3 linked regions of the Mus musculus genome follow. The protein of the gene in region 3 interacts with the protein of the main gene of each other region in a pairwise test. Links are inferred from orthologs where the notes say so. Each region holds a gene or a part of one and is shown on either strand. Other genes may lie near its edges.

What was found.
Region 1: the proteins of Ndn (region 3) and Ssx2ip interact in a two-hybrid assay, tested with the Homo sapiens proteins (2 studies listed by BioGRID). The link is inferred for Mus musculus from reciprocal best matches to the Homo sapiens genes NDN and SSX2IP.
Region 2: the proteins of Ndn (region 3) and Zbtb1 interact in a two-hybrid assay, tested with the Homo sapiens proteins (2 studies listed by BioGRID and IntAct). The link is inferred for Mus musculus from reciprocal best matches to the Homo sapiens genes NDN and ZBTB1.

Annotation. Positions count from the first base shown.
Region 1 is NC_000069.6:146,428,567-146,432,215, reverse strand, and holds part of Ssx2ip (afadin- and alpha-actinin-binding protein), read right to left. Parts: intron 1,288-3,649; coding exon 1,137-1,287; intron 1-1,136. UniProt on the Homo sapiens protein: Belongs to an adhesion system, which plays a role in the organization of homotypic, interneuronal and heterotypic cell-cell adherens junctions (AJs).
Region 2 is NC_000078.6:76,369,641-76,373,389, reverse strand, and holds the start of Zbtb1 (zinc finger and BTB domain-containing protein 1), read right to left. Parts: upstream 2,871-3,749; 5' UTR 2,660-2,870; intron 2,294-2,659; exon of another isoform or gene 2,146-2,293; intron 1-2,145. Other genes in the region: Zbtb25 (zinc finger and BTB domain-containing protein 25), read left to right, coding at 3,199-3,749.
Region 3 is NC_000073.6:62,346,749-62,350,488, forward strand, and holds Ndn (necdin), read left to right. Parts: upstream 1-1,528; 5' UTR 1,529-1,659; coding exon 1,660-2,637; 3' UTR 2,638-3,180; downstream 3,181-3,740. UniProt on the Homo sapiens protein: Growth suppressor that facilitates the entry of the cell into cell cycle arrest.

The sequences.
Region 1 (3,649 bases), on a different chromosome or scaffold from region 3:
TGAGGATCGAGCCAATAGCAGCACCCTTCCATGGCCTGTGCCTCAGCTCCTGCCCCGCCCTCCCTTCCTGACAGTCTGTGAGCTGTGAGGTAAACAAACCTTTTCTTCCCATGTTACTTCTGCTCTTGTTCATCAAAGCAAGAGAAACGCTAACTACAACAACTGGAAGCTAACAGGTCTCACAGCCACTGCCAGCTCACAATCTTGAACAGACTTTTAAAAATCAAAAGACTGCACAACTTTTGCCTTTCTGGGTTTTGTAAGAAGGAGTTATTGTCTCTGGCATTTTGCATTTTCAAAACTGTGACAAAATCAAACATTTTAAAGAAAAACAGCTCCGAGTTCTGACAATGTATATATAGTCACACAATTTTAGGACCAAATGGATTTCAAGGCAGCACGGCCGCTAACCCTTGGCTTATCAACTACAATTATTCAGACTGGCATGACGGTGCGATGCCTCTGTTCTCACCTCCAAGTCTTTAGGAGCTACTGGCTCAACCACAGAAGGATGCTAACAAAGTCACAAACGTATCAACTTTCTTGATGGTGCTTGGGAGAGTGGTACTAACAACTGTGAGTTCACATTGTAAATCCAGGCAAGCTTTCTAATAAACGGACTGAGAACATGAGCACACTTCATCCAACTCGGTGAGGGAGCTGCAGTGAGAACCACGCCCTTTGCCCTGCACAGCTCGTGGCACTGGGACCAAGACTCACTGGTCTCATCATTTCCATACGTTTTAAGTAGACTTCACTTACTACACAGAAATGTTAGTGCTGGAGAGACAGCTGAGAGGGTAAGCGTGCACTCTGCTCCTGAGAGGTCCCTGGCTCCCTGGCTCTGCTTCCAGCACCCCTGTTAGGTGGCATACAGCTGCCTGTGTAAGCTCCCGGGGAACCTATATTGGCATGATAGCCCCGTTTGCTGGCACACAAACAACACTAGACTATGGGCGACACTGTTCTCTAAGGTTTGTTCTGAAGCCAAGTGCATTTCTCTCAGTGAGTGCAAAACCAGGAGCAAACCAGGCAGAGTCTGACCCTGGCTGTGCGCAGACCTCTGAGCCCACAGCACTGCTGTTCCTGGGACTGAACAGCAGCACCCCCTCTGCATGCCCTGGGGCAGTAGTTACCTTGGTTATCGAGTTTTTCTACATGACTTTTCAAAATTCTCCACTGTTTCCTGATGCTGTTTGTCAGCTGCTCTCTCACAGTGTCACAGGAAAGGCCCCACACGCTGTCTCTGCTCAGTTCCCCAGAGTCATCTTCTATATCGGAGATAGCCTACGGCACAGACGGAATAAAGAGCAGCTCGCAGTGGCTGTACACCAGGGCACCGCATCTGACTGTTAAAATCTCTCCATTAACTAATACCTAATAACACTGAGGACACAGACACTCCCCAATCCAGACAGATCTCTTCCATCTGTCTGAAGAGAGGCAGCCCCTGTCTATGCAATACTGTGCTGAATACTGCCACAAAGTCAATCCTCTAACTGTGCATAAAGGCAGGATGCAGGCTGAGAGAAGCAGGCCGGGGCCACAGAGCAAGAGGCAGGACTGGGATCTGAGTTGCGTCTCTCAGTGAGAGGCAGCTCCACTAAATAAGCTGCAGAGATTAGCTATAGTTAGACCACTAATTCTCATTCTCTCCATATCATTTCATGGTTACCATGTTTCTCTCTGCTGTATTAAGACATGAAATTATAAGAAAATGTACCAATGCTGGTAAGTTATCACAGAGAAACAGTACCAAAGGTGCAGGTCAGACATGTGTCTACATGAAATATCCCTTATTTGTTATTAACACCCAAGGAGGGCAGAAATACTTGAATAATTTTAAAAAATACCTGCCAGGAGTGCCAGGAGCCATTTAGGAGAAGCTAAGAACTAAGAACTAGCAGGTGACCTTCTGAGATGGTTCCCCTAGGGACTGCAAAGCCATGACAGATTCGCTTCTTTTAGGCAAGGCCAAGGAGATTACATTTGAGGAAAGATTCCTGCTATTAATATGCTTTTCCTGTTATTAAATATAAAGCAATCACTAGGTATTGACCCACCCTTCTGAGCAGATCTCTGCAGATCTACAAAGAATCACTATTTTGTAGTGATGCTATATAGACAAATGGTTCTGTGGAATTCCTGATTTGTTCAAATAACTTTAGGAAAAGAGTTTTTAAAGACGGTCTTAGCTGCTAGAAGGATGTAATAACGTTAGAATCAGGAATAGACTCTGACCTCTCTTCCTAACAGGAAGTACAGGCTCCACAGTAAGAAACACATAATCACACTTCCATAATCACACTAAAAGAGAAATGGACTTGGGACAATTTGTGTTCAAGAAGAAACATTCAGGTCCAAGGATAAAGTCACAGTGTGCACTATGATATAAGGCAAGGCCATGTAGAAACTATTGGTTTGAACTTACAATGAGCATAATAGAATGAAACATTGCTTTGAACTCATTATCAGCATCCTTCTGCAATTCCCATTTTCTGTAACATTTTATCTATGAAGTAATTCTCACAGATAAACAGTGAACTTTTTGTCTAAGAAGGTATTAAAAGGCCAGAGAAAAGAAATAAAGTTGTTGAATTGTTTGGCTTGGGGGGCTCTGACCTATCTATCCATCCATCCATCCATCCATCCAAGTGTATGTCTGTCTGTCTATATGAATGTGTGTAGGTATATGTATATATGCAAGCACACATAAATACTTGTGGAATTGATTGTGACAGACAGTCAGGCCTGGCCAGCATGTGAGCGTATGAATGCATGTGTGTCTGTGCATATTGGCCTGTGGGAAGCATCTGAATTCGTTTCTTGTCCTTTCCTTGCTCTCTGGTTCACAGAGAGCTAAGGAGCTTACAGAGCGGCTTCTGGCGACTCACCAGAGAAGGGAGCACTGGCAATGGATCCCTTTACTTAGTTCCCTGCTGCTAAACAGCAAGTGCCAATCTCCAGATATCAGCACTTACTAAAGCACAGGTAATACAGAGTTAAGTTTCAGCCTCAATGAAGCATGGAACAGTCAGAGTTAAATTTCCCTAGTGCTTATTTAAGTCTAGAGAACTAAATAACTCTTTATGCTTAATAAAACACAGAGTTAAAAACAAGTCAACAGTGTTTAACCACAGAATAAGCAAGAAAGCTTTTAAGATTTTTTTAAAAATAAGTTATCAGCAAGCATTTATTACAGTTAGAGAGCTAGAAGGCCGGAGACCATCAGTCTTTAAGCTATGTTGGATGCTATATCCTGCTTCAAAACATTCCAGGCCAGGCTCGCTCCCAGAACAGGAGAAAGAAGGCAAAAAATTAAGAGAAGGGAAATTAAATTGGGTCCCCTCAGTCAGATGACTGGGTCACTCAGAGATGACCAGTTTAGAGCGGGATGGAGGAGGCTGTGAGTGAGCACTAGGGTGTAACAGCTCAGGTCTGAGCAGAGCTTAGATAAGGGCATGGATCTATGTATATGGTGCACACTGGATCTATGTACACGATGTATGTACATCAGCAGTCTTCAGGCCTGTGACCCCCTGCCGCCTCCTAGAATACAGCCTGAGTATCCCTCAGCTGAGACACCTGGAGCCTGCGCACTTGGGACTTAAGATACTTTTATATTCGTGCTACTCAAAGCTGCAGCTGT
Region 2 (3,749 bases), on a different chromosome or scaffold from region 3:
TTTTTTCCTGAATGGTGTTACAAGGAACACTGGGCACTTTGAAAAGGCCCCCAATTGTACTGACAAAAGTGGAGGGAGGAGTGTGGAGGAATGAGGAAGCAGAAGGTACAAACATTTGGCAGCTACTATGACATAGAAACACACAGTCCTGAGCAGGACTGGCAGCACAAACCTGTAATCCTAGCACTGTGGCTGCAGAAGCAGGCACATCCCTCAAGAGGTTGAGGCCAGCTTGGTCTACAAGAGTGAGACCCTGCTTCACAAAAACAAAAACCCCACAAGGTCAGAAGGCTGGGGTGGAGGTGCAGGCCCGTTATCCCACCACTAGGTGAGAGGTTGAAGCAGGAGGACCAAAAGCTAAGGCTGGCCCCAGACCAAACAGTGAGACTCTAGCTTTAAAATACAAAACAAAACAAAACAAAAAAACCCCATAAAACAGCCGTCAAGGTGATCCATGCTTTTAATCCTGACATCCAGGAGGCAGAGACAGGTGTATTTCTGCCTTTGAGGCTAGCCTGGTCTACAGAGTGAGTTCCAGGATAGCCAGGGATACACTGAAAAACACTTGTCTGGAAACACCAAAAACCAAGTTACAAGATCAGGAAGCTGTGCTCGTGGCCTGGTTAAAATGGGTTCTTTCCTGACAACGACACAGCAGCAGTGGTGCAAACCAGCAGGCATAATGTTAGGAACTGGAAGAACACAGCCAGCTGGAAAGACTGCTCAACCAGGTCTACTCAACAGCATGAAAACTGAGGCTTTGGGTTTTTAAATTTTAATTTCTAATGATGTGTATGTATGTGGGGGGAGGGGTGTGCACATGAGTACAATTGTTCTAGAGTCCAGAGCTCCCTGGAAATGAAGTTACAGGTAGTTGTGAGCTGCTTGGGATGGGTGCTGGGAGTCAAACTTAGTTCTTCTTGAAGGAAAGGCAAGTGCCCTTCACCCCTGAACTATCTCTCCAGCCCTGAGTTTTGTTTTTTGAAAAAAAGGTCTCGCTATGTATGCCAGGTCCAGGTTAGCCTCAAACTCTTGATCCAACCTCTTGAAGTGCTGGGATTATAGACGTGCACAACCACACCCTATAAAACTTGCTGTCAACGGAGAAATTCTGGTGTTAAAATGAGTGCAAGTGGCTGGAACACAGCACTGTACCGCAGAACTTCTAAGCCTTAACCTTTGGAAAAGCACTGCACTGCACCTCGGCTGCGTTAGGTCCGTCTGTTTCTTTAAGAGGAAGAAACCCCATGCAGCTACCAATGCCACTCAGTATTACTGAGACTTTAGGGGATAGTGATTCAAAAGGGAAGTTTTACAGTTCTAGGCAACTGACCATCCATCCATCATTTGGGCTTCAGCCTCTTGTACCTTCATTCTTTCCATTTCTCCAGATCATATCCATTTGAGGTGACAAAATTCCAGAGAACCTATTTTATACCTTTTAAAAAACATGGTTGCTTTAAAACAGTCATAAGAACTACATCGATTTCCCCAGTCGACTTCAGGGTGCCTCAAACTTCGGCTCAAGAAATTCTAAGTGGTCTTGGAAAGCCTCAGAACAAGCCTATCACCCCAAAATTTAGGATTTCCTGAGGCAGGAGAATTATATCCAAGCGATCCTGGGCTACCTAGCCAGACCTTGTCTCAAAACGGGGTGGGGGTCGGGGGGAAATGCTTGGAACGCTTTGTGGATTCCAGTGTCAAAGGGGAAAATGTTGCCGCAGCGATTCATACTGTACGGAAATACAGTCTGACCAGTGGAGAATCTACATGTACCGTCACAGCGACATTCGATTTGGGAACATGATCACACACATACAAAACCCTATCCCCAGAAAACAAGGACTTTCATTAACCTGTTCTAGACCCGTCCGAGTTGGAAAATGTCTTGTCAAGCCCTCAGATCACGTGGACGAGTGGCTAAGGTGGAAAGGGAGCCTGGGAGCGGCGGCTGAGCCCAGATCCACGCCTGCACGCTTCAGCAGCAAGGACTCCAGATCGCCACCCAACTAGCTCACCGCCTCCACCAGAACTTCTACTTGTAAGCGCCCACCACTGGAGGCAAAAAGCACTTTCTTCTCGGGACTCGGGGGGCGGGGGGGAGGATCTCGTACACAGAAAACCCCCCAAACCCCCGAGACCTACCACTTTGGACCCGAACAAAAAGCGTGTGTGCTGAGGAGCGGGGGTGGGAAAGAGCGAAGCAGGAATCCGCGCGGCCCAGCCGCCTCCTCCCTCGGAGCGCGCCCAAGTCTGCGGCCTCCGGCTCCGGGACGCTCCCCTCCCACCGGCCGCCCAGCCGCAGCTGGAAGTTAGCGAAGCGCGCTCTGGGCCCGTCAATCAAGCGCGGCCTCCCGCCTCCACCTCCCCTCCCCCCACCCCCCCAGCACAAAATAAAATAAAGGGAAAAGAAGTAATTTGGGAAGTCGTCTGGAGAGGGGATTCGTCCGGAACCCGGAGAGGCCGCGCGCACCGGACTGACGGCCGGCCCCGAGCGAAGCCGCTCGGCAGACCCCCGCCACCGGCTCCTCGCCGCGCGCTTTCCACGCTCCGGCTCCCCGCACCGGTCGGCGCCGCCTCGGCCACGCACTCCGCCAGGCCCGTGGCCCAGCTTCGGCCAAAGTTGCGCAAATGGCCCCGACGACTGGCAGCTACTCACCGGGCGCGGTGGGACGCGCGGCTGCGGAGGTTTTATGGAGTTGAGGGCAGCGGAGCCGCTGGGAAGGCGGGCGGAGGCGAGGGGCTGCGGGCTGCAGTTGACGGCGCGCGGCGCTCGGCTGGGCTGCGCCGAGACACTCCGGGCTCTGCCAGGGACTGCGCTGCAACAAAGGACTTCCGCTGCCGCACAGCCGCGCCTGCCGCACCGCACTGAGCCGGCCCCGCTTACGCGGCGACTCCGGGTCTGCCCACCAGTTCGCGGCGGCGTCCGCCAGCCTTCCCCTCCCTCTCGCCCGCCCACCCACTCCGCCGCTGGCGGCTAGGGGCACCCGCGGTCGCCTGTTGGTTGCAACAAGTTTCTGCGTCGGGCCGGGGAGGCTGGCACTGCCCGCAGCGCGGGCGCCCGGGCGGCGGCGGCTGGAGCAGCACTGTCGCCCCTCTCCCCGGAGTCGGCTTGGCCCTCCTCCTGTTTGCACAGCTGGACGCCACTGGGATCCTCCCGACTCCCCCAGGGCTGGATGCCGATCGCCCTCTACCCAGATGTCAGACCCCTGTCCCGCAGGGCCCCGCAGTTGGACCCGCCCCCGCGCTCCACCCTGGACGCCTGGAGGGGGGGGTGACACTCTCGTCCCGTCCAGCCTAAAGCCTGTCCGCTCGGGGTCCTCCGTGCCCCCCGACTCCTCTTCGCGTGGGCCCGCCAGCCTCGGGCCTGAGTCACTTCCCCCGCCATGCCCCGCCCGGCCCGCCTCCCTCCCTGGCTCCCGCCGCATGTGGCTGCCTGCCCCGCGCCCTCGTCCCCCTCCCGCGCCAGACGCCGGTGCATCCTTGCCCGTCCCCACCCAGGGCCGAGGGGGCACCCGTGGTTTTTTTTTGTTTTTTGGGTTTTTTTTTTTTTTTTTTTTTTGCACACGCCGGGGAAAGTTCCCAGGTCACGCCAAGACGTGTGGGGAGCCAGTGACGCTCGAACTTGTCCCCACACTTCCGCCTCCAGTCACGACTGGGGACCGTGGCAGAGGCGCGCCCGGAGCGCGGGGCCGACCCCCGCCTTGGCCACTCGGGCGGGCAGGCAGGCGCGCGCGCACGCACGCACG
Region 3 (3,740 bases):
TCTCAAATATATACAATCTGAAACTTTTTCCAGGATATGCAGGATGTCACAAGTGAAAAATTCCACATCAGAGCTCGCGGAGTAGATCACAACTGAGAGAAAGTGTTGCCTTCAAAAATGTCAATAAGAAGCAAACTAATAACACGTCTAGGCTGGAGTTTAAAACAAGTTATTGTACATGTGCAAATATTCTCAAATCTGGAAAACTCTGAATCGCTTCTTGCCATAACTATTCTGGGTAAAAGATAGCTGTTATATCTAAACAAACATATTTTAGAACCTAGGAATGCCAACATGATATCTTAAATCTGTCCGCTTTAAGTGATGAGAAGGGCTAAGGAATTCCATTATTTCAGAACAAGAAAGATGATCAAATCTAAGGACTTCTGGCTTTGGAAGCTTCAACAATGGTCATTGTATAAAGGAGAGTTTGAGGAAATATCAGCTTTAGATGACCTCTCGATCTACCTTTTTATTTTTGGACACCAATATGTTGCATCTTATTCATGAGAGACTGTTAGGTATCGAAAAGAGCTGCATTTAAAATATATTGGGAAAGATTTGGATGTGCTCCCAACATGGAATTAGTCATTTGTGAATGACATAATTTAAGAAGTAGAAGATTTCTTATAAACGCAGAAGATGCAGTGAGCAGGGCAAAAAGGTAGTGGGAAAATATGAAAAATACACTGTCATAAAATGTGTATTAATAAATATGTTGATCATTTTCCACTAGAATCTTAACGGAAGCTTTAGATGAAAACAAAGTGACCTAATAGAAATGGAGAGCCCAAATCTATAGTTATTAAAATAATTCAAAACCAACAAACTGAGCATCCAATGATGAATGAATGCATATATATATATTTTATATATCCCTCATTTTCATGTGGGGCCTGGGGGATTTAAATTCTGGTTCTCATGCTTGAACTGCAAAAGCTCTTAACCACTGAACCAAGTCTCATTTTAATTAAAATTTTAAACTCCCATCAATTATGCTATATGAATCTACTACTTCTAGAACATTCAAATCTCACATGGATTTATCTCCAGTGTCTGTAACTACACTTTACATTCTTCCTTGTTTGATCTGCATTCAGATATGTAAGAATTTATCTCTATTAATAATTTCTCAATATTCCAATCTTAAACAACTCATCATCATCATAAGGTACAGCTTTCCAAAAGAAAAAAGAAAAAAAAGTCATTTCTGTTTCTCTTATTCTTTTGTAGAAAAACCAAAATCAAGAATTAAGTCTTTCTCCAGGACCTTCACATTTAATTTGATTTTGCACAAACTCAGTGTGTCCGAACTTAACTTCACCATCTCAGCTACATCTTTCTCCTTCAACTTGTTTCTTTCCCTACCATCATCTAGTTCTGTGCCATACAGGAGACCAGGAAATCTTTTACATAAGCCTAGTGGTACCCTCCCTTAGACCCCAGTGGTTGGGCTTTGCTGCTTCGCTCCTTTCCAGCCCTACCACCCTTCTGGCTTCCCAACACGCATGCGCAATATCGCATCAGCCCCGCCCGCCCGCTGCTGCGGAAGGCGCAGTGCTCAGTAAAGCGCACTTCCTCTGCTGGTCTCCACCGAGGGAGTGCCCGCTCCAAGAGCTCCAAGCCGCATCGGTCCTGCTCTGATCCGAAGGCGCAGACATGTCGGAACAAAGTAAGGACCTGAGCGACCCTAACTTTGCAGCCGAGGTCCCCGACTGTGAGATGCAGGACAGCGATGCCGTTCCGGTGGGGATCCCTCCTCCCGCTTCTCTGGCCGCTAACCTCGCAGGGCCACCGTGCGCTCCCGAAGGCCCTATGGCAGCCCAACAGGCCTCGCCACCGCCCGAAGAACGGATAGAAGATGTTGACCCTAAAATCCTGCAGCAGGCCGCAGAGGAGGGCCGCGCCCACCAGCCCCAGAGTCCAGCCCGGCCGATCCCAGCACCGCCAGCCCCTGCCCAGCTGGTGCAGAAGGCGCACGAGCTCATGTGGTACGTGTTGGTGAAGGACCAGAAGAGGATGGTCCTCTGGTTTCCAGACATGGTGAAAGAGGTCATGGGCAGCTACAAGAAATGGTGCAGAAGCATCCTCAGGCGCACCAGCGTCATCCTCGCCAGAGTGTTCGGGCTGCACCTGAGGCTGACCAATCTCCACACCATGGAGTTTGCCCTGGTCAAAGCCCTCAGCCCAGAGGAGCTAGACAGGGTGGCGCTCAACAACCGTATGCCCATGACAGGCCTCCTGCTCATGATCCTGAGCCTCATCTATGTGAAGGGCCGCGGGGCCAGAGAGGGTGCGGTCTGGAATGTGCTGCGCATCCTGGGGCTGAGGCCCTGGAAGAAGCACTCCACCTTCGGAGACGTGAGGAAGATAATCACCGAGGAGTTCGTCCAGCAGAATTACCTGAAGTACCAGCGTGTGCCCCACATCGAGCCTCCCGAGTACGAGTTCTTCTGGGGGTCCAGAGCTAACCGTGAAATCACCAAGATGCAGATCATGGAGTTCCTGGCCAGAGTCTTCAAGAAAGATCCCCAGGCGTGGCCTTCCCGATACAGGGAGGCTCTGGAGCAGGCCAGAGCTCTGCGGGAGGCTAATCTTGCTGCCCAGGCCCCCCGCAGCAGTGTCTCTGAGGACTAAAAAGGTCCAGGGGCACACTGATAGTTTCTGACCCATACTAGGGCTGTGTAAGGGTGGGGTTGAGTCATTAGAGTATCCCAAATCCACAGTGCAGTATTTCATGTATAATTTTTAAGTTTTCCATACAGTGCTTTTGTACCTTGTAATGCTATTCATTTGTGTACTCGTGTAGTGTTTAAGATTGATGCATGTGTGATAAGTATTTGGTACTTTCACTTTTGTGCTTTCGTGCATTTTTGTACAAGAGATGTGCTGTGCTAAACTTGTGAAATACATTGAGGTGTTCTGTATCTTGTTCTTTGTATGGGACTGATGATCTGTATCGACAAAGAAGGCCCTGGAGAGTTAGCAGGACTTAACAGCAACGCAGACCTGAGCAAGAGAAAGGTCAAGGCCTTTCTCCATATGACTTCAACTGGCACAGGAAGCATCCATGTGGAATGGACTGATTTGAACTGGACTGTTCTCAGTGTAGGCACTTAGCACCCTTTACAAAACATGTATGCAACCCCACCATAAATAAACGTTAAAATGAGCATTAAAGATACTGTGAAATAATTTCTTGGGGGGGGGGAGGAGGCATTTATTTTTGATGAAAGGGGGAGTGGGAATGGGTGGGGATGAGAAAGATTCTCCCTGTGTGCAGCATAAGCAAACACGGTGTCCTAACACAGTGGGAGACCACACGACCACTCAGAAGAAACTTGCAGTGCTTTAATCAATTTGTCACATAAAAGGTATAACAACAACAACAAAAAAGCTCATTATCACATAACATGGGGATAATAACAGGTATATGGAGGGCCTGCCCCTTTTCTGTTGCATTTTTTAAAATAGTCTTTGATGGACACTTTAGCAGAATAAACCCTTATCATGCATTTTCTTCTTTATTTTGTCCTCCCACCAGCCATAAGAAGTAAGGAATAACTGTATCATCACAGAGCAAGAAAAAATAAAAGGGGTGTTGGTAATGAACTATCCTAAAACCTTTATACAGGAGTCTTGACACCAAGCTCCCCATGGCCACCACTCACACACGCACTCTGGCCTCCCTGCTGTATGCATTAAGGGTTTGATTTTTCTAATTAATTCCAAGAGTTTCA